Drosophila melanogaster: one gene and its partner. The protein of the gene in region 1 purifies or fractionates together with the protein of each later gene. This does not show direct contact. Each region holds a gene or a part of one and is shown on either strand. Other genes may lie near its edges. The genes, in order: daed and Gasz.

Region 1 (3,742 bases):
CAATGTCCCAGATGGTGATGCAGGTGTCATTTCGATGGCGATCGTGTCCAATGGCCAGGATATTGGCATCCAGCTCGTTCCAGGCGAGGCAGGTGCACATGCGCTGCTGACGCGGTGCTACGAGAAATGAAGAACTATTAGATGCAGCTAAGAATCGGCGTTGTCGTCCACCCACTGTACTCCCAGCTGCTGTCGTAGGTGTCCCGGAAGTTGCAAATCCCGACTTTGCCATCCGCCAGACCCACTGCAATTATGGGCTGGTCACTGTGGTAGGAGGCGGCCACGCAGCGGGCATATTGATAGCGCGACTCGTTGGCGAGGTAGTTCACGGATATATAAGGCAGGCGACCTGCAAGGGGGGCGGTTAAGTAAAGTGGCATAATCCCTTGGGGAAAACCCTACTTTTTTGGCTGTGATCATCTTTGCGGCGCACTTCGTATAAATGGATTTCCTGGCCCCAGGATACGAATTTGTCGGGAAAATGTGGAAACCAGCTGAGTCCGTGTGTATTGCCGCTCATCGTGGCCGATTTTCCATCGATGTAAAAAAAAACAATTTTCACTACAGACTAAATTGCGTCGCGTTATCAGTTTGCAAAAACAAAAACGTGAGATAAACACTGCACTACATGGCAAGAAGAAGAGGCGCACACACACTAGCCGGTCGACCAGCTGTTGGCCGCATGTTAGCCAGCACTGGCCCAGTTCGATAATTCGTTTTATCGATAAGCTGGTAGGTGATTTTGTTTTCCTTTTTTTTTTGTAAGAAAGCAAACGTGTTTAATATTTACAACTCCCACTTAAAATGCTGCGCAAAACACCAAAACCTGCAATTTGGAAATTCATCAAAGGAAGTGCCAAAACACTGTTTGTCCTCGAGGCAGTCTGCTTCGCAGCCAGCTACGGCGTTTATTATCGCATGAACACGAATCGAGGTGGGAGGATATTTATATAATTATTTTGATCGTTAATAACAATCCGCTCCTAGAGTTTCGTCAGCATATTCACGAGAACTATCCCTTCGTTTTGGACTATTACTACAAAATTGGTGAAATCGTCGGAGACAGCACAGTGCGACAGGCGGATGCGAGTTATTGGAGTGCTTTGAAGAAAAGCGACTAGAGGAGACCGCTTCCAAAATGCTTAGTAATCCCTACTTTAAGTCCGTTTTGTGGCTGATTGGCTTCGGAGGAATGGGGTACGGCCTAATGGTGTTAACCGAGCCGAACGTCGACAAGTTAGAGCGCATCAAAGCCTCCGTTTCAAGTACCAAACTGAGTGCGGATGAGCAGCGAAAGGCTCTGTTTATGAAGAAGCTCCAGGAGGCGTCCACCACCAGTGCCCCAATCTACAGGTCATCGTCCGAGAAATAGGATAGTTAGGAAGCTTAATCGTCATCAATTTATCAATTTGTTATACTTTTTAAATACAAATGTTAAGCATTTAATCTTAATTGGTTGGGTAGGGTGATTCATTAGAAGAAAATTCGATTCGTACAAGAATGCGAAATAGGAAAAAGGAAATAAAATTACTAAATTGTTAATATTCACGTTTTAAATGTTTACAGAGCCCTTACTACTTCTGTTACTTTTAACATAATCTGTTAGGAATCTTGACCACCCCTACTCGCAGTGCTCGTAAACGTCCGATTCTTAACAGCGAATCTAATCTAAGCGCAATTGCATTTTAATGGTAATTTAATTGCCATTATTGACAGAGTTTATGGCAACGAAGACGCACACAATGTCCGCGGGGGATGTCCCCTTGGTGGCGATGGCCAAGGTTCCGCCGACCATTCAGTTTGAGGCCACAAAGAACTTTCACTCGCACACCGAGCAGAAGGAATTGGACAGTGCTTTCCTGGGCTACAATCGACGTCCTTGGGTTCGCCAAAAGGCTCACAGGGACACACGCCGGGAGAGGGAGATCCTCAACGGTCTACTGTGCTCTACCAGCGTGGAAACGGACTACGCCAGCACCTGTGTGGACAAACTTATTGCCGAGAACATTAACTATCTGGATTTGGCCTCTCTCACCGACGAAGATTTGGAACTCTTCGGGTTCAAGTGTCGAAAGCAACGGCAACAGCTCCTGGAGATGTTCGAAAAGATTCCCAACCAGAATCCCAGTTACGAATACATTTGCAACCATCCTGAAGCCGAAAACTACAACAATCAGATTCTGGGCAATGCTGGCAACCACTTTATGTCCCTGCGCGCTTCTTTAGCGGCCACCAACTACAAGCTGCAGGTCTCCACTCCCGAGGACGTCGTGGTGGGCGACAAACGATATGCCAGCTGCTTTGCCCAGGAAACTCTAAAAAGCGTGAATCAGATCACCGAAGAGATTGCCAAGGATCTCGCGAAAATCGAAGCTAATGCCCAGAACGCAAGGAGCCAGAAGAAAGTGCAGGGCAACGAGAGTCACAAGAAGGTGAATATAGCAAGCAATAAGAAATTATTTTCCTTTATACAAATTTGCATTGCAGAAGAAGTGGAGCCTGGCTACTATTTTGTATTACACCACCTTGGCTGTGGGATTTTCGTGCGCCTGGTTCTGGTGGTGGACCAAGTTCCGCAGCGCTCCCCGACTGGAGCGGATCTCCGTTCAGACTTAAAAAAAACGCACAACGATGCATTTAATAGTTACATTCCGATTTTCTCATAGGACCTAAGTTTATAGAATTTACTTATTACTTCTTTAAGCATTCGCTTAATCTAAAGCTGTAATGAAGTTTTACTGCCCAACATGAACATTTGATAGAAACCATATGTTGTATTAAGTTGAAAAATTGTTTAATTTATTGCCTTAAACTGACTTCTTCGGCAAGGAGAAGAAACCCCAGATGGACATAGGAGTCCACGTGCTCGGGAAATTCCCATAAAGTTGTGTGCGCAATGAGCTGGCTTCTTTCAGTCGAGTGAGCAATGTTACCTATAAGAAAAGTAACATGATTATATTTAAGATGGTAAATCGAATTTGAGAAATTAATCTGTGCTTCTTTGAATTTTCAAACGTATTAAAGGGGCTGCTTTCGACAAAGAGGAGCTTTATTATTCCTACCGGCAACTTCCATTTTGACCAGAGCCTCCTTCTCATATCTTTCGGATAGCTCCTTCGCGAAAACCACGAATTGCTGCAACTTCCAGGACCTGTAGAATATCGTATCCGCTGCAGATCCCGGTAATTTTAATATGCCTCTCAGTTGTCTTAGTATCTCCTTTGTATTATTTGCGATATCCCCGAAAATAGAGGCTATGATGGCCAACTTGTTGCAGGGAAGTAGGAGATCATCTGGGTAAAGGGAGCTGCCTTCATCCTGGCTTTTCTCCAGACACTTGGTCTTCTTGGCTTCGATAGTATAGCAAATAGAGGTGCCCCGCTGATGGGCCAGCTGCCATTTAGCGTAGTTATCCTGGAGTTGTTTGACTATTGTTTCCAATCTGGTTTTGCAGGTGGCTAAATTCGCATCGTGACTCGTGGGCGATTGCAGGCGCTGGCTGTCCAAATCTGGAAACGATGCAAAGAAATAATAACCTTTTTTGTCTTTGGAGCCAACTTACATCGAACTGGTGTGAAGGAACCATTTATATTCGGTTCACTTGCTTTTTGCGGCGTTTTATTCGCTTTGGTCATTTTGTAAACAATATTGTTTACTTCAGCTAGTGTATGCACACCTCCTCTTTGGGAAATACGTTCAACGCGTTTATCAACACTAATGGTTTCTAATATCGATAAGTGAA
Region 2 (4,690 bases), on another chromosome or scaffold:
AAATGTTGCTATCTGGGACAAATCCTCGAAGCGGGTCAGCTTGGAGGTGGTGAACCGCTCGCAGACGATGGCCAGATCCTCGCGTCGTATCCCCGTGCCATTGTCCTGGATTTGAAGCAGCTTCAGCCCACCGGCCTTCACCTGCACCTGGATGTGGGTCGATTGGGCGTCCAAACTGTTCTCGAGCAGCTCTTTTAGGGCGTTGGCGGGTCGCTGAATAATCTCGCCGGCGGCTATGCGGTTCACCACCACCTCGTCCAGCTTCCGGATGACTCCAGGCTGCAAATATTCCGCCATGGCGGGAAATCTTCACGCGAAGTTTAATGTAAACAAAAAGTAGTGTGCCCGTTTGTTTGCGCGGGAGTATACAAGAGATAAAACGGTCTATGCGGTAAGGCGGTAAATTTGAATTGTGATATCACTTCGTTTATAAAACGACGAATGAACAAAAATTGCAGAAACATAACTTAATTTAAAACTAAACGAAAAACGGACCGGTTAGTTAACAACTCCTTTATTAATGGGTTAACAAAAATAACTCTTTTCAATTTTTACATTCGATGTTGTATTAATATATATATATATGGTGTTTTCCGTCATAACCTTTAGTTCATACATTTGAATATTTCGTTTCTTTTAGTTTCAGGTATATTCATCAGCTTTGAGGTAACGTTTGATATATTTCTATTGCGTTCTAACATATATAGTCTTAACGAGAAAACGGTTGTTAAATGTATTGAGAGATTACGCGTTTCCTAACAGTTAGAAATAACAATTGATAAACTTCGATTCGAAATATGAGTTAAACTTTTCTTTAACCTAAAACTATTTGGATTTGCAAAAAAATTCCGCCAGTTCAGAGCGGTAAGGAAAACCACGTTCTTCGTAAACGTTGGAAATAATATGAGGAATGTTCTTGAGCGGATACTATGAGAACCACTTGCACTTGAGGCAAATGAAAACTGAGATTCCAAGTATAATGGTGGTGTACTTGAAGTAGCTGCGCACCTTTTTGCGTTTTCGCTCTGCGAGTATTTCGTTGAAGTCAATGAACAAGGGATTCTGAGAGGGGCTAAAGGAACCAAGCTAAAAATATATTTAAAAGAAGTGAGTGTCCTGATACAAGAACAATTGAAATGCGACACTTACATATTTGACTGTCTTTGTGATTTGGTTGAGTACATCTCGATAGCCCTGAAGGTTGCTTTTCATCGCAGCCACCTGCATCTCCGAAGGTTGCCCCATTTTATTGTGCTCCTGGTTTTTGAGGATGAAGCGCAGGGAGGCCTGAATAATGACCAAGTGTTGCAGATGACTTGCGGTGATCAGTAGGATCTCATAGAAGCTGGAAGAATTTTTGGGTTAGTTGAAATAGTAACAGAATAAACCACCACTCACTTGTTCATCTCATCCTTTTTGACCCGAGCTATCGACGAGTTGCTCCAATGATGAAGATGAAAGCTGTAATAAAGGGACATTTTATTACAAGTTCCATAAGAGTTTTAATTCTACTCACTCAAGAATGCCCGTCAGTATCTTGTGACGGAAGATGGGATACTCGATGCCGATCTCGCGAAGTGACTGCTCATCCATGACGAGGAAATCTGCCAGCGAGATCCTCGCAATGGCAAAGTATTGAACCATGTTGCCAATATTGATGGCCTCCAGTATGCCGTTAAGTTCTTGAAAATATTCCGGGCAATCGCTCTTAAGGAAGATGCGTGGAATGTGATCCCTTAGCGTGTTGTAGCCCAGGAAGTGCGTCGGCACTAGGTAAGTGGAGGCTGGTCGCGGCAGGATCTCCAGCAGGTCGTAGTATCCATGGCACTCCGCCACCTGGGTGGGCGTGTAGCCTTTGTTGTTGGCTATCGTGGCATTCGCGCCCGCCTCCACCAACAGCTTGACCACTTCCACGTGATTTTTCTCGATGGCATGAAAGATGGCAGTGCAGCCCTGATTATCCACAGCATCGAAACTAGCATCCTTAATAAGCAGACGCACAACGCCGGCAAAGCCATTTTGGCAGGCGAACATAAAGGGTGTCATTCCATATTTTTCCGAAACATTGATCACGGCTCCGTGCCGCAAGAGCAGGCCCACAATTCTCTCCGCCAGGCACGGATCCTTGTGGGTGGTATTGCAGGCCATCATCAGCGGCATCAAGGAATCCAGCTGCCGATTCACGTTGGCCCCTGCCCTTTCCAGCAGCCATTCAACTATTTTGTAGTGGCCCTCGCGACAGGCGAGCATCAGTAAGTTAAGACCACCTTTTACTGGCTGATCCACTTGGAGGACGAGTTTGCGCATCTCCTCCTGCATCGTCTTGAGATCCCCAGCGACGACTGCATCGTAGAGCTTTTGCTCGGGATCCACGTAAGGAGCTGGTTTCGAGCGTTTCACCTATACAGAAATTACTCAAGTCACCCAAGGAACACCAGAAGGAACAGAACAAGGAACACATACCTTATCCGAGAAGTAGAATCCATCGTAGCTGCTATCAGAGTCGGAATCTGGGGGCGGTCCGTATTTGCAAAGGTTGCTCATCATACAGGTACTTATATAAACCTAATTTAGCAGTTTAAGCACACAACAATTGTGGCCAAATTCAGGAAAAAGGCGAAAGGAGGAAAATGGCAAACAAAACTAGTGAGGGGAGGCGAGGTTCTGAAAAAGTTTGCACAATCGATTTTTATCGATATCATGGCGCGCTTTTTAAACTAAGCTAAATTAAGATAACCGAAACTAATTTAAGCAATAGTAAATTTGCAGTTATATTAGAAAGTTTAACACTCTGATTATGCAGATTCGCAATTTTGTTTTGAGGTGTCATATGTTTAAAGCAAATTAAAAAAATTAAATGCCTTAAAGAAGAAAAAGTTTTATTTTACAAGTATACGATTTAACATAGCGTAGTTTGCAGCTCTACTTCTTTTTATCCTTCTTGGCGTGACGAGGTCCTCCGAAGTTCTTGCCCTTGTTGAACTTATTCTTTCCCGCCTTGTTTGTCAGCTTCACACTGCTCGCCTTTTTCTTAGCAGCGATCTTGGTCATCTTTTTGTGCCGATTGGCCTCGGACCTGGAAAAGGGTGTACAAAATTAGAACAACTATCAACGAAAAGCGAGAAAGAGCTACTCACCTTAGACGCAGAGCTCCGCCACGACTTACATCGGTCAAGTCGTTAGTAAATGCCGACTGACCGCCGCGTCGCTTGGGTTTGCCGTCGGAGGCACCGCTTCTGTGAACTTCGGTGGCGGCTCCTAGTTTGCCCGGACGTTTGCGCAGCTTGGCCATCTTGGCGCGCACAAGGGACACCTTCTCGATCTCCTTCATGGCTCGCTCTTTGGCCAGCTGCTCCGGTGTCTTCTTTCGAGGCTCCTCCTTCTTCTTCTTGTTGCGCTTTGCCTCGAGATCCTTGACCGGTGGTCCATCCTCGCCATCGCCTCCGTACTCGGGTCGCTTACGCTTTCCGGCCGTTTTTCCCTTACCCTTTCCACCAGATGCTTTATCCTCGTCGCCGGTTGTCAACGCTAAGCGATCCTTCTCCGCCTCGCGTTGCTGTTTCGTCTGGAACCAACCACGTCGCTCGTTGGTCTGTCCCAGCAGCTTTCGCTCCGTTTTGGAGAGCTGTTGCTCCGTTTTGGCTAGCTGCCGTTCAGCCTGCTCTTCGTCCAGAATGTTTTCTACAAAACAATACATTTACATCCGCAAATTAAGAAAATGTTACATTTATATAAACTTACGAATCTCTGGCTCCAAGCTTGTAAGTTTGTTGCGATATTTTTCAATAATCTCTGGCGGAATAATACGATTCTTAATGGTACTCTCCGCATTCTTGATAATGTCCTTAACGATCTTGCGCTCCTTTTCACCGGCCAGGGAAACGGATATACCAGCACGCCCAGCTCGAGCCGTACGACCCACTCGATGGATGTAGTGCTCTGTGGTGATGGGCATCACAAAGTTGATTACCGTTTTTACGCCCACAATATCGAGACCACGAGCAGCTACATCTGTGGCGATAAGCACATCAATCTGCTCCTCCTTGAACTTCTTGAGGGACTCCAGACGCTGTTGCTGGGTGAGATTGCCATGCAGTTCGCCGGCCCGGACGCCCAAGAGACCCAATAAAATGTGCAGTCGATGGGCCTGCTTTTTGGTTTGCACAAATACCATGCAATGATCATGGAACGTCCTGCAAATCAAACTAGCCAGAATGGGTTCACGGTCGCCCTCCTTATCCTCACGTATGCGAATAAATTCCTGACGCAGATTGAAGGCCACTTGCTGGTTGTTGTTGACGAACACCTTGATGGGCTTGTCCAGCGATACGGCGGCCAGATCTTTGACCTGCTCGCTCATTGTGGCGGAGAACAACATGGTCTGACGTGTCTTACAGCAGGAGTTGATGATCTCCTTCATCTGTTCGGCGAAGTACTCGTCCAGCATACGATCGGCCTCGTCCAGAATGAGAACCTGTTCGGGATATCAAAAGATATTTAAGTTATTCAGGTAAAGTAAACGTAGGAAACACAATGCCTGTGGAATCAGCTTGCATCTGCCGCGCAGAAGCAAGAACCAGGTTATCCTCTTAGCTCCGCAAAGAGCTCAGAGCGCAAGGATGGAGAATCATCAACTTAAATTCACCTCGATTTCTTACCTCAATGGAATCCAATGTAAAACTGGGCGTAT

What was found.
Region 2: the proteins of daed (region 1) and Gasz purify together in Drosophila melanogaster (affinity purification with western blotting; one study listed by BioGRID). This does not show direct contact.

The regions. Positions count from the first base shown.
Region 1 is NT_033779.5:2,214,205-2,217,946, reverse strand, and holds daed (daedalus), read left to right. Parts: upstream 1-1,635; 5' UTR 1,636-1,721; coding exon 1,722-2,432; intron 2,433-2,487; coding exon 2,488-2,616; 3' UTR 2,617-2,799; coding exon of another isoform or gene 2,800-2,933; 3' UTR 2,934-2,975; downstream 2,976-3,742. Other genes in the region: mio (missing oocyte), read right to left, coding at 1-117, 176-349, 403-520; CG42371 (uncharacterized protein), read left to right, coding at 805-934, 988-1,121; CG15386 (uncharacterized protein), read left to right, coding at 1,139-1,372; CG34174 (uncharacterized protein), read right to left, coding at 2,800-2,933, 3,063-3,509, 3,563-3,635.
Region 2 is NT_033778.4:8,165,900-8,170,589, reverse strand, and holds Gasz (gasz), read right to left. Parts: upstream 2,643-4,690; 5' UTR 2,548-2,642; coding exon 2,464-2,547; intron 2,401-2,463; coding exon 1,517-2,400; intron 1,462-1,516; coding exon 1,399-1,461; intron 1,346-1,398; coding exon 1,150-1,345; intron 1,087-1,149; coding exon 928-1,086; 3' UTR 501-927; downstream 1-500. Other genes in the region: Mlh1, read right to left, coding at 1-297; Rs1, read right to left, coding at 2,923-3,076, 3,138-3,681, 3,742-4,474, 4,659-4,690.